Linked DNA regions of Lepisosteus oculatus. The protein of the gene in region 3 purifies or fractionates together with the protein of the main gene of each other region. This does not show direct contact. Links are inferred from orthologs where the notes say so. Each region holds a gene or a part of one and is shown on either strand. Other genes may lie near its edges.

What was found. Proteins that work in one complex are often made in the same cells at the same time.
Region 1: the proteins of otud5a (region 3) and zgpat purify together in Homo sapiens (affinity purification with mass spectrometry; 3 studies listed by BioGRID, with this or other methods). This does not show direct contact. The link is inferred for Lepisosteus oculatus from reciprocal best matches to the Homo sapiens genes OTUD5 and ZGPAT.
Region 2: the proteins of otud5a (region 3) and khdrbs1b purify together in Homo sapiens (affinity purification with mass spectrometry, with the first as the bait; 3 studies listed by BioGRID). This does not show direct contact. The link is inferred for Lepisosteus oculatus from reciprocal best matches to the Homo sapiens genes OTUD5 and KHDRBS1.
Region 4: the proteins of otud5a (region 3) and ruvbl1 purify together in Homo sapiens (affinity purification with mass spectrometry, with the first as the bait; 3 studies listed by BioGRID). This does not show direct contact. The link is inferred for Lepisosteus oculatus from reciprocal best matches to the Homo sapiens genes OTUD5 and RUVBL1.

The regions. Positions count from the first base shown.
Region 1 is NC_090711.1:13,476,536-13,483,622, reverse strand, and holds the start of zgpat (zinc finger CCCH-type with G patch domain-containing protein), read right to left. Parts: upstream 3,024-7,087; 5' UTR 2,916-3,023; intron 2,156-2,915; exon of another isoform or gene 2,058-2,155; intron 1,831-2,057; 5' UTR 1,794-1,830; coding exon 1,162-1,793; intron 415-1,161; coding exon 281-414; intron 1-280. Other genes in the region: arfrp1 (ADP-ribosylation factor-related protein 1), read left to right, coding at 3,168-3,265, 5,273-5,366, 5,562-5,649, 5,767-5,849, 6,997-7,078. UniProt on the Homo sapiens protein: Transcription repressor that specifically binds the 5'-GGAG[GA]A[GA]A-3' consensus sequence. Represses transcription by recruiting the chromatin multiprotein complex NuRD to target promoters.
Region 2 is NC_090706.1:3,047,658-3,054,706, reverse strand, and holds the start of khdrbs1b (KH domain-containing, RNA-binding, signal transduction-associated protein 1), read right to left. Parts: upstream 3,024-7,049; 5' UTR 2,682-3,023; coding exon 2,588-2,681; intron 1-2,587. UniProt on the Homo sapiens protein: Recruited and tyrosine phosphorylated by several receptor systems, for example the T-cell, leptin and insulin receptors. Once phosphorylated, functions as an adapter protein in signal transduction cascades by binding to SH2 and SH3 domain-containing proteins.
Region 3 is NC_090697.1:76,471,826-76,479,674, reverse strand, and holds the start of otud5a (OTU domain-containing protein 5-A), read left to right. Parts: upstream 1-4,842; 5' UTR 4,843-5,104; coding exon 5,105-5,704; intron 5,705-7,849. UniProt on the Homo sapiens protein: Deubiquitinating enzyme that functions as a negative regulator of the innate immune system. Has peptidase activity towards 'Lys-48'- and 'Lys-63'-linked polyubiquitin chains. Can also cleave 'Lys-11'-linked ubiquitin chains (in vitro).
Region 4 is NC_090699.1:66,360,205-66,367,162, forward strand, and holds the start of ruvbl1 (ruvB-like 1), read right to left. Parts: upstream 3,024-6,958; 5' UTR 2,887-3,023; coding exon 2,746-2,886; intron 1,879-2,745; coding exon 1,792-1,878; intron 1,290-1,791; coding exon 1,157-1,289; intron 1-1,156. Other genes in the region: eefsec (selenocysteine-specific elongation factor), read left to right, coding at 3,886-4,201. UniProt on the Homo sapiens protein: Possesses single-stranded DNA-stimulated ATPase and ATP-dependent DNA helicase (3' to 5') activity; hexamerization is thought to be critical for ATP hydrolysis and adjacent subunits in the ring-like structure contribute to the ATPase activity.

The DNA.
Region 1 (7,087 bases), on a different chromosome or scaffold from region 3:
ACGGGCCACACGGGGAAAAGACTTAGATTTGTGGACAATCCACCAAACCCTGAGAGCCCTTCAAAGAAGGCTTTGGTGAGATTAGGCCGTTGCATGCTGCTGTTAGATGCCAACACTGCTCAATATTGCTGTGTTGTCTCATTTTTTGAAATTGTTACCTGAATGTATGTTTCAGAATGGCTGGACAAACAATGATGAGTGCAAGCTGGCCAGTCCACTGTGCGGACGACTTCATGAGTACCTCACGTGCGTTCAGGGCCTATGAGCGATCACCACAAACCTGTAATTTTGGCCGGGTACCAGATGCCATCCTCATGCCTGGCTAAACAGGCTGAGCCCTCCTGGAGTGAGCTGAGGTCCGATTCCTGGAAAGGCCGCAGCTCGGACACCAACACCACTTCTCCGTGGGAGAACCTGAAGGAGGCGAAAAGGACGAACTCGGGGAGAGATTCACGACAGTGTGGGAACGGACGGGAATGCTCGGTATCGCGGGCACTCCAATTCCGATTCGATCCGGAGCGCCGGCTCAGAGCAGCCGAATCACAACGGCTTTGCTCCATTTATAAACAACGGTTCTGTCTAAAGGCACGGCAATCACAGGGGTCAGCGTGCAGCTTTAACCCCAACTTCAATCCACGTCAGTGGTTGCCGGTTCAAATCCCGCGGCCGGCAGAGGAACCCTATTCCGTTGGGCCCCTGAGCAAGGCCCTTAACCCCAACGGCTCCAGGGGTGCCGTATAAGTGGCTGACCCTGCGCTCTAACCCCAAGCTTCTCTCCCTGTCTGTGGGTCTCATGGAGAGCAAGTTGGGGTATGTGAAAAGACAAATTCCTAGTGCAAGAAATTGTATATGGCCAATAAAGCGATCTTATCTCCGAGTGAACATGCTTCATTATTTTAGGATATGTTTCTTTTTGTCTGTGTTACATAGCAGCCAAGAAGCTATAAAGAATCCAGTGTGTTATAAAGAAGGAGGTGCTGTGTATTTTTTAATTTGAATTCTTTGGAATAAATCACAGAAAGGTATGCAAGAGCTAAAACAACTGCAATGCATTCCATCATATTTTCAGCTTCAGGGGTACAATGGTTGTGCGAGTCTGCCTCTGAACCCATCCAGAGGGGAACAGATGCAGTTTCCCAGTGGCAATCTGCAGCTCCTCACCTGCAGCTGTCCATGAAGCGACACTTGTCCTCCAGGAAGAAGGGGCAGGGCTTCATGGACTTCTGGGTCGGGTGGACATACAGAACCCGGACCTGCGGGTCATCATCTTCCGAGTCCTCTGTGCCCACCACCATGGCGTTGTGGTACTCCAGCGTTCCCCAGGAGGTGCGGTAAGGGGCACAGACCTTCATGCCACTCATCACATCCTCCTCCTCCTCCTCCTCTTCCTCTTCCTCAGCTGCCTGCTGAGATCCGGGGCTGCCGGATCCTCCTCCAGATCTCTGGGCCGCAGGGGCGCTCTCGCTGGTGGAAGGCTCGGCGCAGGACGGCTCGCTCACCGCCGCGTAAAACGCAGCGAACTCGTCCCGCATGCCGGGGTCCCCCGCCGGCGGCTGCCCCGCGGGGGGCTCCGCCGGCCAGGCCGACGAGCCCTCCAGGCTGGCCAGCAGCCGGCTCTTCTTCACGGACACCAGGCTGGCCTCGGTGAGCTCGATCAGCTGGAGCAGGTCCTCCTTCAGCTGCAGGAGGTCGGACTGCTGGGAGGGCTCCAGCCCGGCGCCCAGGGCCGTCTCCACCTGCTGGAGCTGGGCATGGTAAGTCTCGATGGCCGCCTCCAAGCTACCTTCGTCCATCACGACCGGGGGGACAGGCCGGCATTCAGGAATCGGTCTGGCGAGGAAGAGGAGAGGTCAAACGCTTTAACCTGGAGATGTGTTTCTCCCTCCTCCAACTGTTTCTCCTGTTCAAACTACGGAAAACCGTGATTATCCCTGCACTTTGAGGCACCCTGCACACAGCAGGCGAGCATTCGTCTTAATACAGTCATGCGGAAAAGCTTGAGTCAGTATGTTCAAAGTAGAGGAAATCCAATCACTTGCTGCCTCTCCCATAAATACCTTTATGAGATTGCTTCTTCTCCTTTGTCTCAAACTGACCAAGCTTTCCCGAAGCTGATATTTCCAAATCCCTTGGGCAATCTACTCCGGGATGCAAGCTGGAAGAATGAGAAATCCGACAATTTAGCCTTCAGCGCAAGAATAAAGCAATAAAATTTTCCGAATAAATTAACACGGAGATGAGACCTGTCACGCATCCCAGAGACGAAACGATCGATTTCACATCTTAAGTTGCAGGTTTCTGATGTCAACATTTCACAGACGTCCGTATGAACCTCTGTTTAAACTAGGTAAAAAATTGGGTACTAAAACTAGCGTATTTGTCTCTGAAAATGCTTTAACACTGAGATAAGCAATCCATGCAATAAGTGCTATTTATTGCTACTTTAAAGCAATTGCTTTGATTTTAAAAGTATTTTGCTAGTTTTAATTAAGGCGCCGTTCAAAAATGTGTAATTGTAAAGCAATATCTTTAGTAATTTAATTACACATACGAAAAATAACATTTATAACATCTATAACATGTAACGGAGACAAATATTAAACCAGAAATTATTTCTTAAAATACTGTTTACTTTTAATCGTTTATTCACGAAGAACTAAATGATACATACAAAGAGAGCCTTAAAAACACAGATTTGTTACTTATACCAAAACTATGTTTATCTCTTGCGTTTGATGCCTTTAAATATATTTACGGTAACTACTGATCAGGATGTATAATCGCAAAATATATAAACTGGAATACAAAAATAAAAAAAATTGTTGCTCAGTTGCTAACTGTTGCTAACAATCTTCCATACAGAAATCCTGCATTACTGATAGGTATGTAGTATAAGAAAAGCAATGTAACCTTACATTTACCGGTTCTGATATTGCAGTCACCATTTAAATGACAATTTGATATCCTTCCATTTTTGAGAGGAAGTTATTAGAGTATATTTGTGAATTGTGGGTATTGTAGTGTATTTGGACCACATCTACAGTTTTAGAAGCACCAGTGAAAACGTAAATTCCCAGTAACCACTGCAAACTACACGCCGGCCTTTTCCTTTCCAATGGTATCCTGGGATTTGTAGTTTTCAAGCTCAGGACATCCGTTCAGCAGCCATGGGGGTGAAACCAACAAAAAACATCAATTCCTACAGTGCATTGCCAGTCGGTAAGCACTTCCTATTTACGGATGATGACTTGGTCGCAAATGAAAGGTAAGTTCAAGGAAATGTGTTATAAGAGCAGTTTTCAAATGCATGTATGGTTATTTTAACATCTAAGGATGGTAACAAAAAAGGAAAAGAGCGACGGATTAGAGAAATTATTATTTTACAGGGATGTTGATTCAGAGTTAATAGTTATAGCCTGTGGTTTGTACTGCTGCAAACCAGTTGGTTTTGTTTGTTTTATAATGTAATTGAGCTCATTATTTTGACAGTACTGTATACAAGGATTTTAGTCCTAAGTAAAATTAGATGGAATACCAGTCATCTCTAACAGCGCACTTTTAAATACATCCACCCCAATACAAAAGAACTAGCATTTACAATTATATTAACCTGAGAGTGTGTAAGCTATTCGCCTTTGTACGGTTTTATAAAGTGAAATCTATCATCTCAATTCCATCTCAGCTGGATTATTAAGACCTTAAACAGCAAGTAAAGTGCGGGCGATCCCAGACACAAAGGTAAACATTAGCCGAGATATAATCAGAAGCACGGAACTAACGTCACGATTCTTCTCATTTCGCCCGTTTGGTAACTAGAAGCTATTGATCCTGGGTTCTCATCCAGTCGTTCCCTGATGAGGCCGGAGTATACATTATAATATTTATTATAGTTATAACGTAATAGTTATAATAATAATAACATTATCAACTCTATAAAATAATACATATAATGGCCCTTCCATAAAGTGTATCCTGTTCTCAGTTTTAAAAGTTCTCCAATCTAGTTTCCTCTTGTAACTTCTGGGTTGTCTTTCTCTGTTTATTGTGAAGAAATACACTGGGCTGACACTGCCAATGTCTTTGAGGATTTTGAAGGCTGAAATCAGGTCCCCCTCATTGTCATCTGCCTTTGAGACTAAAAAGGTTCAGCACTTTGTCCCGAAAATGTAGGGCATCCTTTTAATGTGAATGAACCTGGTTGCTCTTTTTTCTAGAACATTTTCAGAAGCGCACTAGACTTCTAGTCACATGGTGACCATCATGCAGTGTTCTAAGTGAGGTCTTACTTGTGCATTGCATAGTTTTGACATATCATCCCTCGATTTAAATCCTGAAATTTTAATAATTTCCCCCTCATATTCTGTTGACCTTTTTATTGCTTGCCCACTGTAACTGGAGATACAAATGTCAACAAACACTTTCTCTTTAGCTTTTTCAAGTCCGTTGTTCCTCACTTTGTATCTATACTGCATTTTTACTTTCGGCATGTAATAATATGCACTTGTCTAGATTAAACATCATAGGACAGGATGTTTCCGAGTTGAGCATTTTATCAGAATCTTCCTGTTTTGTGTTTTCATCTTCAATTTGGTTTGGTAATCCTCCTATTTTGAAATAATCTTCAGACTTTGGTACTAACTGTGCCGGAATCTAGATCATTGTTATAAATTAGACCCCAGCGCTTTGAGGCTGCAGTGGTAACCACTGTGAGTCCATGTCACCATTTCTTCATTTCTTCATTTGTTGTGTTTTCTTTCTTCTCTTTTCAGCATGGAATAAACTTTTTACTTGTTCCTTTGCAGCCTACGCATGCTGATGCAGCTGCCCACCTGAACTTTCTTCAAAGAATACCATATTATGACTTGATTGTTTGGAAAGACTAGTTCAACACATGTCTCCCATCCTGTTTGTGCTCTGTGTAAGAAGGCTGTCATTAGCCACACTTACCAAGTTACTTTCTGCTAGCTAGCAAACTTGGTTTTGTGCTTTTTGGGGGAAAAAAGGTAAATTTCTCACTACAATAAATCCTATCTCGCACATGATTTCTTATCCAAAAAGGACTTCTTCACCTACCTTGTGGATCTATCTACACCTACCTGTCTATGTATTAACTGGCTCGTTTCTCTACATCTTTACTCTGCATTGATTTAAAGTATCAAGCAATGCGTATGATCTTGCTCAAATATCAAGCATCTGTTAATGTGTATTTTTAAAGTCCAAATGGGCATTTTAAATGATCTTTGTTTTGTTTTTTTTGGTTGTTGTTTTCCAGGATGTACACCTTATTATCGGGTCTGTACAAATACATGTTCCAGAAGGATGAATATTGCATTCTGATCCTCGGCTTAGACAATGCAGGGAAAACTGTAAGTTGTTTTAGTGAATTTAGTGAATGCCTTTTAGACCTATGGACAGTATGATTTATGGGCAATATAAAATCCTGCATGTGATTCTCTTATTGTACACTTGCAAATGCATTATATATATATGTGTGTGTGTATTATTAGACAGTGAGATTTTGCCAACTGAGTGATTTCATCCGTTTCCATTTATTGCTATAGACATTTCTGGAGCAGACCAAGACTAAATTCAGCAAGAATTATAAGGGCATGAGTTTGTCCAAGATCACCACCACTGTGGGCTTGAACAGTAAGTTTTGATCCTCTTTGTATGAAATACATTGTACAGTATATTTATATATCTAGACAGTACAGCCAATGTTTTAAAATCAGACTGATCTGTGTGTCCTTCCCTTTTCCTGATCAGTTGGCACAATAGATGTGGGCAAGGCGCGCCTCATGTTCTGGGACCTGGGAGGTCAAGACGAGCTGCAGTCACTGTGGGACAAAGTAAGGCAAGGCAGTGGGGTTGCCTGAACTGGTCTAACTGCCTCATCCAATTCAGGGTTGCTGGGGGGCCATGGGCGAGATACGTCCTGAATGGGATGCCAGTCCATCACAGGGCACGTAGAGACACACACTCACACTGGGGCCAGTTTACCTACCAGCATCTCTTTGAGCTGTGGGAGGAGATGGAAGCACCCAGAGGAAACCCACGCAAACACAGGAGACCATACAACCCCCACACAGACAGCACCCCAGGCCCGGAATTAAAACCCAGGGCACCAGCGTTATGAGACAGCAATGCCAACCACTGCACTGCCATGCGGCCCTGGCTATAATATATAGTATAGCTAAAATCTGCAACTGAATAGCTCATATTGTGATTCACAGAATCTTCTTCCTAAATATTTATCAGTTGCTTTGCAATGTGAGGCATGAAGCACTGCTGTTCACAATTGTGGTAGGCTATCCCATGGAGACACCTGCAGTGACCATTAAGACCACTAGAGGTCACTGAAGGGTTATCAGTGGTATTAAATGTTATTTAAAACTTTTTTAGTTTTTGTTTTATTAGGGTGTGTTATATATAATTCCTGAGCCCAATTACAACCGTCATTTATTTTGCACACCTCCCAGAGCCTTGCTACCAAAAGGAAGCTGTCATAGGACCTATATATAAGAACATATGGAACCATTTGATGCTTCATTATAACAACAGTAATGGGTAACTTGTTGAAAAAAATACTTCCATACTTTGTACTGAATGGACATCCTTTCAGTATCCACTTTTCCAACTTGATTATTTGAGTTAATAACCTGAAAGATTTTAAATGCATGAATCAAGTGTCCTCATAATTTCATTTTTTCAAGACCAGTGTAACATTACTTTAAAACCAGGAACTAACCTGGTTACTCTTTCCTGGGAAAACTCCCTAGAAGCAATGTCTTTTGGTAATGTGGAACACAAACTTGTACACCATGTGCCAGATGTGGCCTTACTGACGCGTCTTGCAGTCTTTTCCCACTGTGTACTGAGGCAAAAATTAATCCCTGTTCAACACTGAGACATATTGCAAGAAAGGGAAAGGGGGAGAAAGGTGTTCATGCAGACTCTGCTCAGGGTTGATTCAGATCTGTTTCCCTCCTGGTGCAGTATTACGCTGAATCCCATGGGGTGATATACGTGATCGACTCCACTGATGAAGAGCGGCTGTCTGAATCGAAGAATGCCTTTGGTGAGTACA
Region 2 (7,049 bases), on a different chromosome or scaffold from region 3:
GGAGGCAGAAGCCAAGCTAGATGCAAGACTATGTCAGCCGCGGCATCGCCAACAGAACAAGACTGAAACGTTTAAGCCATCGTGCCGCTGGTCCAATTAACACGCCGATGCAACCAGACATTTCAATAATCTTATTTCAAGCCACCAGCAGTGGCGGACGAAGTGAGAATTGAAAGGGGGGTGTAAAAATTTCACAGTGCTCAACACAAACCAGCAACTGCAGGAGCTCACAGGCAAGCACGGGGAAACGAGCATTTACAACCACTTGTGACACTTTTATTGCAGAAACTATGTTCGTCTTAATATGAAACAGGCACACCGTTTAAAAAGCTGGAAAACATTCAAGTTTCCACTGCCAAAGAACCAGAAAATAGTATTCCACGTCTTCAGACCCTGAAAGTTGTTTCTTTTTTTTAAAAAAAAAGAACAAAAAAACGTGGATGGGCATTTGACGAGAGGCTCAATGCTGGTTTCAAGGAGCGGGCAAGCGGGCGTGAGAGACCCCCCCAACTCGCTTAACATCTCCCGTCTGGCGATGGACTGGGCTATTCTCAACCTCCTTCCCAACAAGAGCAACGTCTGATCGCGTCCTGTTCCAAAATATAATTTTGCCACGTTAACGGTTTTCCTCCACCCCCACCCCCCCCAGCTTGGAGCGAAAAAAAAAACTATTTCAGTCTTTTTCAACCCTCTGGACTGTCACCCCCCCACCCTGAAGACATCCATGCCCACCGGGGGTCTCGCCATCCACTTAAAAAAAAAACTAACAGAGGACTTGACGGTGGCGGGGATCAAAATATAACAGCGGGCAAGCGAATAGTCCCGAGCTGAGATGTTGGCAGAAGACTAAACTCGAAACGTGCCAAGGAATGAAGTTACCCCTGCAGAGAGCCTCGCACCCCGACAGAGGGACCTGAAAAGAGCTTTTTTTTTTTTGAAGCACCGTTATCTAAAGCGCCTCTTCCTCCGAGAGACTGACTGTGTGGTTTCTCCCCACCGAGGCCAAGTGAGGCTCGGTCGTTTTAAAGTCATTTATTTGAAACACTGAGGGTGCTGCGGTTACACACACACACAAACAAATATCCAGAAATAAGGCATCGGGGAACCATCTTCCCCGTTAGGAAAGATGCCACCTGGAATTAGGCTGTAAAAGAACATATCGTTGGACCCTAAATCCCGAGGCTGATAACATTTCTTTCTGAAGTTTCCAAACGTGTCATGAGAAATATTTACCGTGCGAGGTCTCGGCACGGGGTTGATAAACTCCTTAAAACCCGTCGACCAAAAAAAAAAAAGCATTTGAGGTAAACCCAGAGCCCAGCGACTGAAATGCGCCGGTTCCGTACATGCAAAACACGCTCAATCGTGTAAACGGCACGACAGCTAAAGCTTGATTTCATCTCTCCACAAAGGGAACAATTAACGCTTCTGCAATCAAGGCGGTCCGGCAATGGAAAAATCCGTTTTTCCCCATTCTGTAACTTTTTCTTTTTAAAGAAAGGGGAGCTTCGCCATTTATCAATTCGCTCATCATATGCAGATCGTGCTTAAAGCTGCGCTACAGTTTAAAAACCTACGTCCCGATTTGCAGCTCAACTCATAAAAAAAAAACCCGAGGTCGCTTCTAAAATATCTTTCTTCTGCTGATGAAAAATAAGTACTCGGGGGTGGGGGGGGGGCGGTTGTACCCCCCCTGCAGAAACGCACATTCATCCCCCCACAGCTAAAACTTCCCATAAATACAAAAGCAGCATCCCAACTTTTCGTGAATTGCAATTTAACCGGCGGACAGGCGTGGCGAGAGAGAAACGCACACACAAGAAGAAGAAGAAGAAGAAGAAAAATAAAACCGCATCAAGATCGGAAAACAAAAGGGACCGAGATGCAGGGACCGTCGGCACCGAGACGCACACTTTCAATACCCGAGGAGCGCAGGCAGGGCGCCATCCTTTCCTGCAACTTGATGCCCCCCTCCCTCCCCGACAGTGCCCTGTTCACACTCCACAAAGCCACGCCGTGGGAAAACACGCTCTCCTCTCCTCGCCTTTCACCCCCCCGAGAAACGAGTCAAAAACGACTCGTTTTTATTGTTTTTTTTACATTTTACGGCGGCGGCTTCACCGGGGAGCTGCTCGGCCGGCCGGCCGGCCCGGGGCTCGTCGTCACCACGCCGCCGGCAGACACCCGAGACGAATGCCGACCCGATCGGGTTACCGGCTTTAAATTAAAATTTAAAAGCGAGAATCAAAGAACACCAACGCCGCCCGACTATGTTAAACACCATTAAAAAAAAAACGTTGTGTCGTTTTTTTTAATTAAAAACCCAACAAGTACCCGGCCGTGTGCGAGAGGGGTGAGCGAAACCCTTTGTCTCACAGACACTCTTCCCCACGACGTGCGCTCTTCCCCCCGCCAACTTCAGAAACATTTACGCTTTTCATTTTCACCGTCACAAGCAGCAGCAGGAGAAGAAGAAAAGCCCCCCTTCTCGTCGGCTTTTGGCAGCTCGGCGCCCCGTTTATTCCTTAACACACACACACAAAAACCACCAACAACAACGAAAAGTTTCCAGAGCGGCTCGATTTACCTGTGGACACCAGTTTCATGGCGTGAGTGAAGGAGGAATCCAGACTGTCCTTCTCCGCCAGCAACTCGGGGAGATATTTGCTTTCGTTCTCCATTTTGTTTACTATTGTGTCTGCTGCGTTTACAGTCTTGGGGAGGAGGAGGAGGAATAAAAATAGGATTAAAAAATGCGTTTGCAGCAGCGGGGGGGAAAAGCTCCTAGCGGCCTCGTAATCTTCTGCAGGTCTGGCTGAGATCGGGCCCAAGTGTGTGCCGAGCCTCCCGGTCGTGTCGGTTAGCAACCTCGTAATGGCTCCCTCCCTCTCTTTCTCTCCTTCTTAGCTCCCTACGAATGGAAAGCGATTGAGAACACACACACACAAAAAATCCTGCGACCGAGGGGGAAAATAGCAAGCCGAGAGGAAGTGAGCTCACTAAATTCATTCAAAATGGTCGGGCTCTCCCTCCCCCTTTGAAAAAAAAACAACAACCTCCGACCGCTGTAATTTTTAAAGGCGCAGCCGGCCCGCTGTTCTTAAATGAATTTGGCGTCGATAAAAATGTGTTGTGGTTGGGGTTTTTTTTTCCCCCCTCACTGTTGGTTGGAGATCACGCCGTGCCCCTCTCTGTACATTTACGTAAAACCGAGGTAACGCGACATGTGTCGATTTTTTTTTATTTTTAACGACATTAAAGTACTTTTTCCGAAATCTGGGTGGTGTGCTTCTGTCGTTTCTGCTCTGATAGTAACAAAGGGGAACACGAAGGCATTACAGGTTAACAACTTCGTCGATAAAATGTTGCCAAACAAACCTGCAGATTTGTTTTCTTTTTTTTAACTCTGAGGGATATTTCTAGGATCTCCTATTTGACCACAGAAATGTCTAAAAAGAAATACTATGCCGTGTGGTTCAGTCGGTTAAACAGCACGGTGGAGCATTGCTTTACTACATCGTCTCATCACTGATTTTCTCAGCTCCGGCAAACATGGGTTAACTTTTATGGACAATGGGTTTAATTGTTCTTTATTCATTTTTCGGAATGCTTTACACTGTGTGTCCGGAAGGTGGAGCTTTTTTACTCTCTATAGGAAAATACTGTGAAGTGTGTGCGAGGCGTTCGTTGATCGCCCGCAAATCGTGAACCTCCGACCTGTGTATCAGGAGATGGATGATGCTGGGGTGGGCCTGATCAGTGCTGTTGTAAGCGGTGTTGGTGGACCAGTAGGTGGCACTCTTCCCTCTGGGCCAGAATTTATAACCCGGTGCCCCAGTATGGCGATAAGAGACAATTTGCTACTCTGTAGGAGGTGCCGTTCTACGGATTAAATGTTAGATCGCGATCCTGACTGCTTGGTCGTTTAAAATTGCCATGGCGCTGTTAGTGTGCTTGTACGATCTGACCTCCCCAGAGTTCCCTCCTTACTTCAACTGGGGAAGCAAATTCTCACCCCTCCCCTCCCACTGATCTGTGGGCTGCTGCGCGTCACCCTGGTGGGGGCGCACTTCAGTACTGGACGATGTGGGGCCCCTCCTGTAGGGAAAGCACCCTTGGGGTGAAAGGCACTCGTGCGGATGCAAGGAAATATTATTATTAAAACTAATTATTAAAATTTCCTAAAATTATTTATGCGGGGGAGCATGGCAGTGCTCTCTCCAGTCTCCAAAGCTCTCTGGTCTGGTGTTCGAGTACAACATAGAGCACATTCTGCATGCTCTCCCTCTGGCCTCTGTCTCCAGCTCACCTTGGCCCTGTATAGGCCTACGTGGTCCGATAATAACTCTTTATAATAATAAAGATGGACGGATGACCGATATCTGTGAGGAACTGATGTATATAAAATGTAACACATCGGAACTCCACTTCTCTGAACTGAAAATATATAGTTATATAGTTCCTACAGGAATGTCAGTTGTGCTAGAAAAAGCACTTTGTTTACCTTTGGCTAAATGTGTCTAATGCATTTAATCTGGTTTTTATTTTCTTACAATATCCTAGGTGCAGTTTGGAATTATGGGCCCATGATAAGTCCCCCTGTCAATCTGCTGAAATGCAAATGAAAACATGGTGTATATCAAGACAATGTTCCCAGAGCTTAAGAGAACAAGTGTTTTGTCAATAAAATACTAATAACACTAAGCGGGAGTCTGGGCTCCCTCTCACACAGAGAATTAAAAATTCACATAAGGGAATGGGAGAAACAAAAACCTAAATCAAAACCTTTCAGGCTGGCGTCTTGTTTATGCGCCAGACCAATCCCCCCAAAATTAACTCTTTCAGCCTCCTCCAGCCCAGACTTCCCGAGTACAATTTTTTATTCCTTCACCACAAAATACCCAGTGTTGTGGTAGCGGTATATTTTCCTTGAAGGGATGGGTTGTGTGAGACTATCATTTTAAACTGTCAGACTGGCAGTTTAAGTTTAGAAACCAGTCCCACCCGGTCCCAGTTCTGTCCTGTTTTTGTCTAACGCCTTGTTTCTGAAATTAAACAAGCCCATTGTAGTCCACCCAGTCTGCCACCACCCAAAACAGAGATGCCTTAAATGCCAAGGAGACTTGTTTTCTGCAAAACATGGCTGCAATGCACACGACCCAGGCAGAGTTTCAGTAAAACAAATATAGTTCATTAAAATATTGAAGATATGCAACCATTGGCTATTAGCGGTGTTTCTTTTGGTTGATTTTATATCTTACCCCCCTAAGCACATAAGTGATGTATGATGGTAAGTGACAAATGATTATTTTAATGTTTCATTAATCTCATTTGTAATTACAATTGAAAAAAAAAACATATACCTCTTTTTTGTTTCATCTTTACTGTAGCATAAAGCAACACTGGCTCACAATGGACATCCTCTGTTAACCTATGCAGTTGGACAACAGATTCTGTGCAATCAGGAACAAAACAGACAAGATAAAGAGCACAACTGATCTTCTGATATGGGAAAGCAAATGGATCATAGTCCAATAACTAGACTCATTATTGCAGTGCCAGACATGACCACTGGAGACATACCCAGCCCCTGAATACTGAACATCTGAATTGGTCTCTAATTTTGTTTTATTTCTCCAGGCTATAACTATAAAAGAGAACCCCCTTCATGTTAGTACAGTGTAAAATACCACAAAGTGACTTTATTTTCTGACATATATTCCATAGTACTAAAATGTCAGAACTTCTTTCATTCACGTTACTGAATGTTTCCTTTGCTTTGTCACAAACCATACAGCACACCTATTCTCTAGTAGAGCAGGTGTGAGGCTGTCTACAGTCCCTCATTGTTAATTGGGCTGACTGGTGTGACTTCTGCTGTCTTGCAAGTGCGAACACCTTCGCAAACGTCTTGGAAGCCTCTGAGACTTCCAAGAGCAAGCCTGAACGAGTGTGATGACTGCTGCCTACACAAAAGAGCCATGCCCATTGTTCACTTTTGTTTGCTCTTGTAAGGCCCCAGAGGCAGGAGTTAACAACTCCTCTGTAAATTGCTAGAGTTTCTAATTCTGCCCAGCTCCTCTCCCCATTCATATTCACCCCATTCATGAGTTTTGCAAGATCAGGCAAAAATGAAAACTACATACTTTGCAAGCTTAATCAAACTGATTGATTACCTGGCTTCTTAACCTGAAGCACACATTGGCAGCCCATGATGTTGGAGGTGAAAGTACAGAAACAGAAGAGCTTTGCAAAAGTATCAAGAGACGAGAGTTAATGTATTATTTATCATAGGTCAGGCATTCAACTTGCTCCATTCATCCTTGAGAAGGATGTGCAGACTGAAGCAAAATGTTGACAAGCTGGCTCTTCCAGGCAACATTGCTGCTCGTAAGGAGGGTTTATCTGAATGATGAGAGTGTGGAAATGTAAGAGGGACTAAACAAGTCAGATTTAAATACAAATCATCAATTTGGTCAGTAGTTTATCGACAGGGGCAGCAGCAAGATTCTTCACTGAGATTGTGCCAGTAGAATTATTAGCTGTAGAGGTGGGGACTAATGCAAGTCACTTGGGCGGACACGTCAGCCACAGACCAAAAGTAATGAGCGTTTTCACTGTGCGATAAACAGGGTTTTTGTCGGCCAGATAGCAAGGCGAAAGCTATAAGAAACATTGCTGTGCTGAAAACATTGTTTGCACCGTGACTTGGGCTGTATAACTTTTCAGCTTTTAAGGTACTAAAGCATTGTGATGAACAGAATTTACATCATCTCAACCCCCCCCCCCCGAGGCACGGGCAAGGGGATTTGATCTAATCCTCTCCACGGGGACCTAATTCAATTCAGCGCTTTAAAACAACGGATTGAGTTCGCGCGTCATGCGATGGAAATGCAGACGTCTCTAAGAGATGAGTGAAAATTCTTTGACCAAAATGAGAATCTGATTCAGGCAGAAGTAACCCTATCCTTGTCTAATCCTCCCTATTCACTGTCTTCATTTGTTATCAATTCTTTTTGTTCTGTGTGGTTTGTGTTGGGAACACCGCT
Region 3 (7,849 bases):
TTTTCTAACCAAACATACATGCAGCCTATATTGTTTTGTTCATTGGACGAACTGTTCTCATATTTATGTGTATATTGTGTTCTGACGTTACATCACCTTCCCCAGGTTATTCTTTTTGAAGATTCATGAACTAATTTTTCAAATCCCATGCTCATTGCCCCATTTATTAGCATTAAGATTAGTAGAATCATAATAACCTAAGGCATTGAACACATCCCAAAATAAAAAAGAACATTAAGAATCAAGATCCAGGGGGAATTATGCCTGTTTTATTTTTCCAGGGGGTGAGGGAGTGGTATCCTTAATATTTATTATTGGAATTCACCACACATTCTATTAAGCTTTTTCCTGCTCCTTCTAAATTGGAATGACACTTTCTGTCACTTCTTCTGCCAGCACTGCAGCAGCTGTGGAGTACTGTATGCAGGGAGAACAGAACATCTGCTGCAGAGCTCTCGCCACGTAGCCCAGGACACACACCGGCTACAGCAGGTTCAGTAGATGATCAGCACCTTGAAGATGTGGTGGAAGGAGATGTTAATGAATGAGCAGGTTTTGACCACTTTAGGCCTATTTAGAAATTATTTAAAAAAAAATATTTTGGTTTGTGTTTCTTTACTGACGTAGCTCAGTCAAACTTTAGAGCCCATACAGTATGTGCATTTTAAACACGCTGTAACGATGAGGACAGTTTGGATCACAGACCAAGATGTGTTTTGTCCATCTTCAGGTGTCAAGAAAAGCATTTTCTAAATGAAGAAACAGAAATACTTTCTCCTGATTTTTTTTTCTGTAATAAAGTTTGAGTATTGAGAAAGCTCTCATAAGCCTCGAATATCATGGAGGAGCTGATGGGGATTATTAGTCATGTCTTCGCTACAGCTGGGTAATGATGGGGCAATGCAACTTTAAAGTAATCTAAATAGGCACCGTAGTAGGTTGGCAGTGATACACATATCGTTCGAACAATAGCAGGGTATTTTTGGCAATGCTGTATACGAATGAGGCTAAAAACTACCATCAAAACTCCTTCACAAACAATACACAACACGATCAAACAACAAACATCCCGGAAAAAAATAAATTTCAGAGTTATACTAGGACCACTGCGTCTGCAGAACATCCTTGTCAGCTCTCAATTCTTAATTCCATCGTTTTCACCTGACTTCTCTCTACCTGGAGACCTGCTCTTAGCATTCGGCTGAAATGACTGTGTGTTGCGTTCTGAACTACTATGAACAGCTGAGTGCAGGTAATGTCCTTTGCACGAATGGTTGTAAAATATTGTAAGTGTTGTTATAACATGTAGTGTAGTGTTTATGAAGGAGTAGTGGCAGTGGTTTTTAGCCTCGGTGAAGTAAAATGTTATTGTATTTTTTGATAAAGCTAAAATAACACATTCCTGTAATATTTGTATGTGAATAATCAAATGTGCAGTGCAGTTCTGTATTTCAGAGCAAATAATGAACAGATGAAGATGAAGCACAGTGTCACTTGTAAACAGAAATTGAGTTTTTGTCAGGATGATAATAAACATTAGAAGACGAAATCTCAAAAAGTGTGTTTTCCCCGTATATTGTGTGCTACCGTATATTGGCAGGGACAACACTTAAGACAATGTCCTCACAAACAGGGGTCCTTCACTGGATTAAAGAATTCCAGCAGGCACAACCTTATAAATGGGTTCAATGGGAGTTTTTAAGTTGACATTATATATCGACGATCTGATATGTCTGTTGAGCCTTTTAGCTCAACCTTTTTAGACAGAGAAGACTACAAGAGAACCTGGGGCCTGTATTCCTATAGGGCACAGACGAAATCAGTCTGGGGGAGTTCTTCAAAATCAACAGCCAAACACAAACCAGAGGACAAATGTGGGAAATACGTGGAAGAGCATATTACATTGAGAGCAGGAGGCACTTCTTTACACAAAAGGTTGTGGGAGTGGGGAACAACTTGCCCGGCCTTTCCGTTGAAGCTGGTAAATGATTTCACAGGAAGTTTGGATGTGACTTCAGAGGCATTATAATATTCACAAAAAAAAGGTTGTCCATAACTGCTAATTATGTTTGATTTACAGACAAGATATAACACCCCCTCTACAGAGCATATACTTTATTTTCCTGATATAAGACATCTTAACAAGAGGACAGAGTAAACAAAAGATTTACCATCTAATTACATGCAATACCAAATGCAATCTCTTTCCATCTCGAGAGCAAGGGTTCACATGATAGCACATTAAATCCAAGATTTTTATCCCCCAAGAAATGTCTACTGTGAGACAAATATTCAAGAGGCCGCTAGAAAGTATCATCTGCCATCTTAAATAAATAGATACAGATTATCTCCTTGTCTTATAAAGCATTATATCTCTATTATTATAGGTGGGTAGCTGCGTCAGCATACGTAGGCTGCAAAGGAACAAGTAATAGGTTTATTCCATGCTGAAAAAAAGAAGAAAGAGAACACAACGTTTCGGCACCTGAAGAAGGCTCCACGGCCGAAACGTTGTGTTCTCTTTCTTCTTTTTTTCAGCGTGGAATAAACCTATTACTTGTTCTCTATTATCATGTACTGGATATCTCTTGAAATTGCTCAATCTACACTACTAGAAGTTTAAGCATTATTTTATACATCAACATCAATTTTTATAATGACATATCAAGCTATAAATGTAATTCCAATTGAATAATTTATTGGTCGTGTCCAAAAAAAAACTTGGCAGAGATATCCAAAAATGATAATGCTCTCATAACCTGTATATTTGTTGTAAATAGGCTACAGGCAGTTTTGATATTCTTCAAAACTTAGGTCGTGCAGCATTTACCGATGTAGTCATTCTTGTGAGGCAAGACTCCTCTGTTATTGAGGCGTACAGGACGCAGAATGCAGCCGAGGGACCTGTCCGTCTGGCGCTAGTTGTGACCCAGTTGTGAGGCGGTGTGCTCCCTTCAGCTGCCTCCCTAAATTCTTTCTCTTTTTCTTCTTCTGTTTTCTGAAGGCATACTCTCCCGTTTCTGACTGAACCATATATATATACACAACAAAGAATATGCCTGTTAGAGGTTTATATCAAATACAAAAAGACTGGCTTGTGTACTCAAACTACATTTTCTTCAGGACATCTCAAATCTAGCTAAGCAGCCATGCGGACAATAACGTGGCGAGTTCGTCGGTTTCCAAACTTAGAACAGGTGAATGAAAACAGTCTTCCTTAAACACACAGTGCTCAATACGACACCCTTGGCGTGTTACTTTTGTACAGTACTTCTGAAAAATCAGCGTTTTCTTCTCGCCATTCACGTTTAACGTTTAACACGACCTCCACAGGTGGAGCAGCCTACAGTACGTTGCTTATCGCTGATTTTTTTCTCCGCTTTTTACAACGAACAGGAGGCGGGCATTGGCGCTAGGGTGAGATCAATTAGGTCCAACGTTTTTTTTTCCCTAACTGGAGATCCGTAAATAAATACAGAAGCAGAATCGTTAAGAGGCGAAAAAAAAGGAAATTGTTGGGACTTTTTTGGCAAAGGGGCAAGGGCTTGAGCCCGTGTAGCCACCCCGCTGTGCACGTCCCTGCATTAGATGTTGCTCTGCAGGAGGGTGGGTTCCTGTGCGTCTCCCTGGTTGTTTCTTTAATTTTTTTTATTAAACGTATAAAGAATTTACAAATATAAATACCAGAGGATCAGAAAAAAACAAACAGAAAAAAACAATTAACTGCAAAAGATAATGAAGTAAATGATGTGATCAAATTGTACATATATCAAATGTTTTCTTTGCTTTCACATTTTCCAAAAAGGTATAGAATTTAAATAGTTTCAACTCCACCTCAAAAGTACATAAAAGGGGAGTATTAGACCCTGTTGATTTATGAATGTGATATTTACCCAGAATGACTAATACATTTACTATAAATAACTTGCTCTTTTTCCAAATTTTCTATTAAACAGTACCATAAAATATCAAAATCCTTTATCTAAAACGCACCTTTAACTGCCTGCAAACAAAACTCTGCAAGTCCGTCCAAAACAGCGTCACAAACCTACAGCTAACAAATAAAAGCACCGAAGACCCCCCTTCAGCCCGACAAAAAACACACAAATCATCCTGCTCATGCTTACATTTAGAGAGCACTAATTTAACCGGATTAAATGTATGAATATCATAATCGACTGTGGTAAACGTGTTTAGTAGGCTTGAGAATCTGAGTAAGAAGAAGAAATATTGTCCGTTTAATCTAAAGGTGTTGTGAAATATTCTGTGATTATGAGATATTAAAATTGAATACAGGAGCTTTCCAAAATGCACATTATAATTACCAAGCACACGATTATTTGATTGTAATTACTGTATAAATAATTGCGTTTTTATAAATAACCCCCTTAGTGTATGCAATGATAAAGTTCCTTTCTGTAAATACAAGGATCGGTTTCTAAATCCTCGGACTACGGATTCTACAAAGGACATTGTACTGACACGAAATTGTCTTCTGGAAGAAAATACCTTTTTTAAAAAAAAATCAACTCGTTACTACTAATACGATATTCAGGAAGGGCCACGTGGACGGTTCAATCCCAAAAGTCACGAAATCTAAACACCTAGTAGATTACAGAAAATGTAGCCGGGGGAGGTATAAACATATATTTATAAAACCCCGTAGCTGTTTGTTTTGTGCAGGTACTGTCCCCTTGACAGCGGCGCCGCGCCACTCGCGCGGGGGCTGCTGGTCCCTGGTTGCTAGGCAGAGTGACGGACGGGTGCGGAAGGGGAGCTGTCAGCGGCTGCGGGAAGTGACGTCGGCGTGTCGTCAGCAGTGTGTGTGTGTGTTGATGTTTTGTGGAAGGCTGGAGGACGGAAGGAGGGCCGGCTTGTTTTTGTTCTCCGAGTGAGAAAGCTCCCGGGGTTGGACTGGGGTTTCATTTTTTTTTTTTAAAGGGGAAAAAAGACAGAGGTAAAACGACGCCTTTGGAAATCGCGAAGGGGCTACGCGCGGTCCACAGACAGGGGGGGCTGCTGCACAACACAGCGCACGTTAACGGCCACCGCTTGAAAGGAGGAATCGTCGTTCCCCAGCCCCCCCCTGCGAAAGCAGACAACCATGACGATTCTTCCGAAGAAGAAACCCAGCTCGACAGTCGGGGTGCCTGACCACCCGGACGAGAGTGACCGGCGGAGCGGTCCGGACTCCCACCCCCACTCGCACCAGCACCCTCATCCCCACACACACGGCGGCCGAGCCGGCGCCAGACCCAGGGCCTCCCCGCCGCGCTGGCCCTACCAGGCCGCGCCGCCCTCGTCCAGGGAGGACCGGAGAGGCGAGGCGAGCTCCCGGCCGCAGCAGGCCTCGCCGCCGCCCGTGGGGTCGGGATCCCCCGTGGGGCCGGCGGACGGCAGCGGGGCGGGCGGGGTGCCGTGCGGGGCCGGCGGCCGCGGGGAACTGTCAGGCGGCGTGGGGTGCGGCGCGGGGGTCGGGGTGGGCGCCGGAGTCGGGAGCTGTTGCTCCGGGCCCGGCCTCAGCAAGAGGCGGAGGCAGGCGGCCTGTGCCGGCGGTGTCGCCGGCGGAGGGGTTGTCGGAGTGGCCGGGGGAGGCGGAGGGGGACCCAGCCCGGACCCGGAGGAAGGAGCGGGATACAACAGCGAGGACGAATACGAGAACGCGGCCAGACTGCAGTCCCTGGACCCGGCGACCGTCGAGCAGGTACGGGGGTGCAGGACGGACGCGAGTTGCCGATTGCTCGTCCCTGCCCGGGGAGAACCCTCTGGGTGGCGGCGTGGGCAAGCTGACAGGTCTCGGGCAGGAGCGTTGTCAACACGCGTGGCGTGTGATTGCGAGTATCGGATCACCATGCCTAACGAAACGGATGCTTTGCTTTATCCTGTGATTTGCTTCTGCACTCGTACATCATGGCCGGTGTTATATGTCACTTGATGACTTTAGCATATTTAAATATTAAAGCCCGAAATACCCAGCCAGATACAAGCTTTTATTGTCACCCCCTCTTTGCAACTATTATTCGCGAATTTAAGGCAGCCTTGTTTTTCAGTGGCCCCCGTTTAAAAGTGACCTCTTGGAGGTTCAGACATGACGTTTGTCTTTTGGTTAAGGTTTGTGTAGAATGAGTTTATTTCCCATAATTACAGACTTTGTGTAGAAATAAGCATTCCACTTTTATTCCAGTCCGGGGTAACAAGTTAGGAACCTTCAGTCCCCCTGGCTAGAATGAATGAGTGTCAAACTTATCATGTCCCTGTGTATAGAGATGACATCCTGCTGTATGTCTGAGCAGCCCGTGTTTAGTGTATTTAATAAATGAGAGAACCAGCTGGAATGGAGATGGAGGGTGTCAATGCTCCTGTGAGTCTGTCGTATTGCAGCTGTTATGACAGATAATCATTTAATAACAAGTAACTTTTTGCAGCTGCTCTGTTAGAAGCCGATTCATACAGGTGCCGTGGCCGCGTCCCTGCGTGAGGCAGTGGCCTGGCAGAGCTTTAGAAAGTGCCGAGGCTGGGCTCTGTGGGGAGACGGCTCTACAGCCTCTGCTTGAGTCAGACCCGGTGGCGGGGTTCAAGGCATCACTCGGACATCAGGCTTCCCCTCCTCCGTTCTGTTTTTTTTGGGGTCGCGTGTACCGGGGTGCAGAGCAGGGGTGTGCGGGCGTTGGGTGTGTGAGATGCCCTCATCCGCGCCCTGACCTCCGGGCACAACAGCTCTCTGCACCAAGCCAGTGTGCGGTTACAAACCAGTGTGATGTAATTTACAGCTTTTCGGCATCCATCTGCTTTCACACGCGCACCTTGGGGTGCATTGTTTTCCACCGGGCGCCAATCACCGCCTGGCTTTCAGCTCCGGCGAGCAGTCGCTCCCCACCCCATTGCACCCATATCTCCCAGTACTGGGGTGCGGCCTTCGGTGTGCTTCCTTAACAACAGGCCACCCTGGTTACAGCGAGGGCTGCTGCAGTCTGTCTGCACCCCCGTGGGCTCCCCTTGATCGCTGAAGAAGCCGGTCAGGCTGCTCCCTGGCTGGTTCGTGTTTCCCTGCCCCGCAGCCCGGCTCCCAGTCTCTGCTGACCACGTGGGAATGTGAGGGCTCTCCCCAGGGAACAGACCAGGGCCTCTCCTTGGTCTCGTTTGCAGCCGGGCCTGCGCGTTGAGCCCTGATCTCCGGAGAGGGCAGGGGAGGCCATCAACCCGTCTTGTGTGTCAGGCCTGGGCAGGCCGCATCGGGCCGGGAAAGCGAATGTGTTTCGGAGGAGCGTTGCCCCGCGAGAGGACTTTCACTTCCCGGTCTCCTGCTGCACAGAGCCCCGTGTGCTCATCCCAGGGGAGAGTCCGATCCCTGACTCCTCAGCGTTTTCAGAGGTGCTGTCCTGCAGGGGCAGTCAGGGTCGAAACTCTGAGGAACTCACTCGCCGGATGTGACTCCGTCATATCCCAGTCTTCTTTAATCCCAAGCCGTTGCCCTTGAAGATCGGGACTTGGAGGCGTCCGCAGTGCCGCGCCTCTGCTTGCGGATGGGGTCGTCAAAGCGCTGCAGAGAAAACGAAGCTTCGCGTGAGGCTTCTGAGCCTCTGTGAGTTTGGTCAATGTAGCCGTAGTTCTACGTGTTTGTTTTGGCTGTGTCCGCCGGAGAGCGAATTGGCAGAACATCGTTATTAGACTAGCCGCAGAGAAGACATCGCGCGTGCCTCACGGTGCTCCGAGTGAGCCGCTCTGTGGGATAGCCAGCGCTTCAATCGCTGCCAGCTTTCTCTTGGAAAGCGGGGAGCAGCGTGGGGAGCCGCTCATGGCTTCCTGCGGTCCTCTGGACAGTCGGAGCCGATCCCCAGGGCCGAAGGTG
Region 4 (6,958 bases), on a different chromosome or scaffold from region 3:
GTGGAATCTGCGACACTCCGAACATCAGAACGCTTGCAAACGAGAGGGAAGCCATTGCACACTTAGAGCTCCTGTTTTCAAGATGTTTTGTTTTCCTGCGTCATCAGAACAACTCGATTAATGAGTCTGGGGTCCCTGGAACGTGACCTAGATGTGGTGGCGAGTCTTATCCGTGTCCCGTCTCTGGACAGAGCACCTTTGCTCGAAGAATTATGTTAAGCACGTCTGTAAACCTGTCTTGTGGCTTTGGAGTGAATCTAGCCAACACGCCTGAGAAGCGGCAGATTTCGTGTGCGGAGGCCATGCCGAGGCGAGGCTGACCGGGGCGCCGGCGAGTCACAGGGGCCTTTGTTGCCTCCTCTGTGAATCGGCCTCTGTCCCGCGCGAGGCGCAGGTGGTCGAGCGGGAGGAGGCAGGGGGGACAGAGACAGTGCGCACCTGTCAGTCCGCGCCGGCGCTATCGGGGCCCCCCGATCGCCTCGGTGACGAGCCCAGAATGTGGCGACTCTACGCGCCCCACAGTGGGCAGGGAAGTGGGGTGGGGGTGCGGACGTAGAAGATCCATTGCCACCGTCTCCATTTCCACACCTGCGACAGGTTATGTCAGCACCCTGCCAAACACACACACTGCCCCTTGTTCCCCCTGCCTGCCCGCGTCCGCAGCTGCCTCTCCCCCTGCCCCGCTCAGCGGGCCCGCGGAGGACCAGACAGAGCCGCGTCTGTTACAGGACAGCAGGCACCTGACACCTTCCCCCTGCTGCAGCAGGAAGGGCGTGAGTCTGCTCTGAGAAGACGCCAGATACCGGGCTCCGGCCTCTCCCCCCCCTGCGGAATTCACACGCGGGCGACCTGACAACCCCGCCGCACAGAGCAGAGCTTGTTCTGCACATTTGCATCACCGGGAAACGTCTTTGAAGACGTATTTGAGGATCAACATGGACAACACCAAAAAAAAAAAAAAAAAGGATTTGTGCACTGAAATCAAAACAAAAGGAAAATGATTCAGGGGTGAATTTCAAAGCACTGTGTGGCCACAGCATTGCACAGGCTTATATCTTGCGGTGTATATCACTGGGGTCATGAGAGGTGTTATTTCTCTGTGCTGCTCACCCAACCCTCCCTACTGACCCCTGTGACCCCCATGACCCGGTCTCACCGATGGCCCTGCGGAAGTTCTCCATGAGCACCTCGGTCTTCTTGATCTCCGTGGAGTACACCTCACTGCCCACCATGGGGCAGAAAGGCACCTTGTTCCCCAGCTCCTGAGCCATGGCCAGTGCCAGAGCAGTCTGTCAAGAGAGAGGGGCAACGTCCAGTAAGCACCAGATAGGTCCGAGCTTATCAAAGCTACAACTTAGAACAGATCCTTCTATAACAGAGTAACAGGTTAATCAAACAGGTTGTACAAACAAGCGTACACACAAGAGACAAATGCATTCACGCACAAACATGTTAACTGCACACAATTGCTCCAGTCCACAAGGGCCACAGGTCAGGCCGAGAAGCACGGCATGCTGGGAGCAGTAGTGCCTGACACCACTCAGGTTTCTGCCGGAAAGCTCGTTCAGTTCGCACTCATGTCAGCTGTCGGGTTAAGGGAAGGAAAACATGGCTACGGAGCTGATAATATTATAACGCTAAATGTATATATAACAGATATGTATGGATTTATCATGGTGGGTAGAGAGAGAATCCTGCTCCTACAAAAACCTTATGTTTCCATTTTTGCCCCATTCTGTTAGTACACAGGGTGCTGCTGCTGTGATCTCCAGTTCTCCCCCCAACAGTTACCTTCCCAGTTCCTGGGGGTCCGGCCAGCAACACCGCCCTGCCGGCCATCTTCTTGCAGCGGATCAGTTCCACGATGATGCCGCAGGCCTGAAAGAGAAAAGGTGGCAGTTCAGTTCCAGTCCACGAGCAGAGGAGGGGAAGGAGTAGGGGAGGGAGTGGACAGCCCACGCAGGGGGAAAGACGAGAGGACGAGAGGCACAGAAAGCAGACTGGCCGTTCCTCGCCTCTTCGTACCTGCTCTGTCCTTCCTCTCCTGTGCCCTGTTTGCGGGTTTCCCTCTCTCCCTCATGACCGGAGAAGGCTCCACAGCTAAAAAGCTGAGTTTCTTCTCTTTGCCCTTCTGTCTGGAACGAACCTTTACCTGTGTATTCGGGCCCGACACACGGCTGCAGAGAAGTGCTAACAGCCCCAGAGAGAGACAGCCCTGACAACATGAGATGTGCTGTGTGGAGCTTTGACCTACAGCAACACAGGACCCTGGAGCTGCAGGAAACTTGGGGGGGTTGGAGTGGTGCCAGACACGGACGGGGGTCTGAGTAACTGCATTCGCCCCAGTAAAAAGCACAGCTGAGACGCCCCCTGGAGGACGGCGGCTGACCACACACCCGCACACTCCGTGTTCCGCTACACTGCCACCGGCTACGTCTGAGAAGCCTGGCCCGATAAAAAGGAAGTATTTTAACCCACCCTAACCCTTCAATGAGTAAACCTCAGAGCATCCAATTTTCAGAGTCTGCTATTCAAACACACGCCAGGTAAACACGGCTACAGAGGACCTTTCTACAAGTGTGCACGACATTGTAACCCAAGCAGACGTCCCCTGAATACAGATAAAAGGGCTTCGCTGGTGACTTGGTGTATTCCATTTAGAGACAAGCAGCTGGGAATGATCATCCGCAAACCGCGAGCCCCCGGGCCCTGTAAACGTCAATGTGCTGGACGCGGCGCCGGTACCTCTCTGGCGTTCTCCTGGCCCACCAGCCCGGCGGCAGCCTGCTTCGCCATCCCGGCCTCGTCCAGCCCCAGGCCCTTGACATGGCTGTGCGTAGCGATGCGCTGGGTTTTCGTGGTGCTCTTCACTTCCTCGATCTTCATGCCTGGACACACGGTTCAAATCGTTCCGGCGGCTCTGAAACCTGGGAGACTCCTTACTGCGTGATGCTGGACGGTTAACGCCGGCGCGCGTTTCCATGTGGGTAACCAAGGAGGTGGAGGAAGTTCCGCCCTCTCTGTCAGCGGCTTTCCAGTCGCAGCTCTGATTGGTCAGATTTACGGAGACCTGTACAGTGATTGGATAGGGATGGTGTCTGTCTAACAGACGTCCTTTGACCCCGCTCAACTAGTGTTTTGTCGGCAGGATTTCTTTCCGCTGGTGTTGCTCCGCTCGCCGTCCCCATGGAAACCAAGCGTTTGGTTTTAGAGAAAAATACATTAAACTACAATAATTACAACCAATCCTGCTCATCGTTATTACACGCAACACGTTCGTTTTAAAGAAAATAATTGTGAAGATGAAACTACAATTTGTATAAGAATGATCTTATTGTAAATATCATGCCTTTTATCTCAAATTACTACTGTTCTACTGCGTTAAAAATTTAGTAAAAGTACAAGTTAAATAAGGCGTTAAAATGAAGTACATTTTAAAAGCAGATTACATGGGCTTATCAAACACATCTATAGGGGAAAGAAGCCACTCGACATATTTTAAGCTATCTCTTTTACTGCTTTTAACAATGACGTTTGTGTAGGATAGGAGGTTTAAACAAACCTCATAGTCAGGGCAGTCATCTGCACTGCTGCTGGTACTGGTACAGCAGAAACACAACAAACATGTTCGCCATCGGTGTTTCACAACGGAATGGGATAGTTGCTACACCGGAAGTGTAGTTTTTCCTGCGGGAGACAGCGCTGGAGTTCTGCAGGAGTTCCGAGAAATTGTGTTGCTTGATTAATTATCGCAGCGGCAACAACAGAAGAGAAACGCGGAAACGGGCAGGGTTCGTGTTTGAATCGCCGGGGCCCACATTAGTAAGTTAAACCCGGCAACGTGTGGGTCTGCGGCAGGGCAGAGTCCAGTTGAGCAATCCGGGGATGGCTGCGATGGCCGGCTCGGCGGAGGGCGACGGCACCGCGACCCTGAACTTCAACGTGGGTGTGCTGGGCCATGTGGACAGCGGGAAGACCTCGCTGGCCCGGGCGCTGAGCAGCACCGCGTCCACGGCGGCCTTCGACAAGAACCCGCAGTCCCGGGAGCGGGGCATCACGCTGGACCTCGGCTTCTCCTCCTTCTCGGTGGAGCTGCCGGAGCACCTGCGGGAGCAGTGCCGGGAGAGGGGCTTCAGCCGCCTGCAGTTCACCCTGGTCGACTGCCCGGGGCACGCCTCGCTCATCCGCACTATCATCGGGGGTAAGATAGTGGCGTGCCGACAGTGCGAAGCCTCTCGCTGCTAACTCTGGGCCTCCTAAGCTGTGTCTGCTGCCTTTGATCTGCACAGCTGGTGCAAGTCCTGCAGCTCCGCAGCGTGCAAGTTAGGAAAAGGCGACTGCGTGCCTGGTGTCCCGGACCGGACCGGATTAGACCAGTGTCCAGCTGCTGTCCGCTTCCCGGCGAGAGCAGCTGAGCTGCCGTAGTTCATTCCCCAGGCGATGCCGGTCTCGCATGTCAGTGCTGTGGCCCCTCTACAACCTCAGCTGCTCTGCAAGTTCCAATGCTAGTTTCGTAACTGCTGTTTTAAAGATGAATCCCGGGCGATGCCCTTCTGTTACTGCCGTTGACAAATACTGGCGAGGGGCCGTCGGTCGAAGATCTGAATTTTCTTTACATTTCAGGGCAAAGCTTAATGTCAGAACCAGTGGAGAGCCGCACAGGTGTGCGTCAGCGTCATCTTGCTGCAGGGTGTCTCTTGGGTCGAACCGGGTCCCTGTGTTGTGGGGTCGAACGCGAGGTCTGGCTCACTTTGCAGAGCTGTGTTGTGCTGCAATGCCAGCTGTCACCAGACGGTGGCACTGTTGCACTGCTATTGCAGAGAAAGCCTTGAGTTCATACGAGGGCCGCATCCAAGCGCGTACAGACTACCGGCCGTCTTGAGCCGCAGTCCGTCGCTCTTGCACGCGGGTCTTAACTCCACCGTTCTTTTAGGATTTTCATCAAGACATGTGCGTTTGCCTAGGCTGCAGTCAGGCCTGGGCTGTAGCTCCCCTTAACCATTTAGCAGCTTAATCACCCTGTAACTCCCAGCTCACAGCCCACTGGAGCTCAGCAGGTGTGAGCCTGGTCAGTACCTGGAGGGGAGACTCCTGGGAAAGCTGAGGCTGCTGCTGGAAGAGGTGTTAGTGGGGCCAGTAGGGGGCGCTCACCCTGCAGTCTGTGTGGGTCCTAATGCCCCAGTATAGTGATGGGAACACTACACTGTAAAAAGGAGCCGTCCTTTGGATGAGACACAAAGCCGAGGTCCTGACTCTCTGTGGTCGTTAAAAAACCCAGGGCGTCTCTCGAGAAGGGTACGAATGAGACCGGGTTTTCTGGCCAAATTTCCCACTGGCCTATACCCATCATGACCTCCTAATAACCCCCCTCTCTGGACTGGCTTCATCACTCTGCTCTCCTCCCCACTGAGAGCTGGTGGTGGGGAGCGGACTGGCGCATTGTCCAGGAGGGGTGCACACTGGGGGTGCTGGAAGGGATCCCCATTACCTGTGAAGCGCTGTGAGTGGAGTGTCCAGAAAAGCGCTATATAAGTGTCAGGATTTATTAAAAAGCCGTATCCAGGAGCTCCTCTCCTGTGACACTGGCCGCAGGACTCTGGAAGGAGACAGACCTTCCCGGAGGAGAGTTACAGCAATTCCTCCCGGAGGAGCAGACTTCCTTGCTGGCTGAGCTGTGTGAATTCAGTCCCCCTCTCTCCTCTGGGTTTCGTCTTGATGTTGTTTTCTTTTCCTCTTCGTGGATGTCGGGAGCAGCCGATGCTTCCTGTAACAGGAGACGCGGAGAGGCGGAGGGAGAGTGGCTCTAGTGTAAACAGCGTCCGGGGCTGCCGCGCGGATGAATGCGGGGCTGTGTGTGCGCGCGGCTCGGCAGATGATCTTAATTAGGGCCGGAGGAGTCGGTGGATGAGTTTGGGCACTTCCTCCCGGAGAGAGGGGACACGTCCAGGAGAGCTTGCGTGCTCCGTCCGTCTCTCCCTCTCTCCTCTCACCTGCACAGACGCACTCTCTCACACCTGGGAACCAGTGTCCGTTCAACACCTCAAATAAGAATTCTGCTCCAGAGCCAAATTGTGTTACAGCAGAGCAATGCCTGTGTCTAGTCATGTTTGACATTCCTGTATGCGATACCTGTGTGCAGGTGTGTTACAGTGGTGTGTGTGTTACCTGTGTCCAGGTGTGTTTCAGTGGTGTGTGTGTGTGTTACCTGTGTCCAGGTGTGTTTCAGTGGTGTGTGTGTGTTACCTGTGTCCAGGTGTGTTTCAGTGGTGTGTGTGTGTGTTACCTGTGTCCAGGTGTGTTTCAGTGGTGTGTGTGTGTGTTACCTGTGTCCAGGTGTGTTTCAGTGGTGTGTGTGTGTGTTACCTGTGTCCAGGTGTGTTTCAGTGGTGTGTGTGTGTGTGTGTGTTACCTGTGTCCAGGTGTGTTTCAGTGGTGTGTGTGTGTGTGTGTGTTACCTGTGTCCAGGTGTGTTTCAGTGGTGTGTGTGTGTGTGTGTGTTACCTGTGTCCAGGTGTGTTTCAGTGGTGTGTGTGTGTGTGTTACCTGTGTCCAGGTGTGTTTCAGTGGTGTGTGTGTGTGTTACCTGTGTCCAGGTGTGTTTCAGTGGTGTGTGTGTGTGTTACCTGTGCCCAGGTGTGTTTCAGTGGTGTGTGTGTGTGTTACCTGTGCCCAGGTGTGTTTCAGTGGTGTGTGTGTGTTACCTGTGCCCAGGTGTGTTTCAGTGGTGTGTGTGTGTGTGTGTTACCTGTGCCCAGGTGTGTTTCAGTGGTGTGTGTGTGTGTGTGTTACCTGTGCCCAGGTGTGTTTCAGTGGTGTGTGTGTGTGTGTGTGTGTGTTACCTGTGCCCAGGTGTGTTTCAGTGGTGTGTGTGTGTGTGTTACCTGTGCCCAGGTGTGTTTCAGTGGTGTGTGTGTGTGTGTGTGTGTTACCTGTGCCCAGGTGTGTTTCAGTGGTGTGT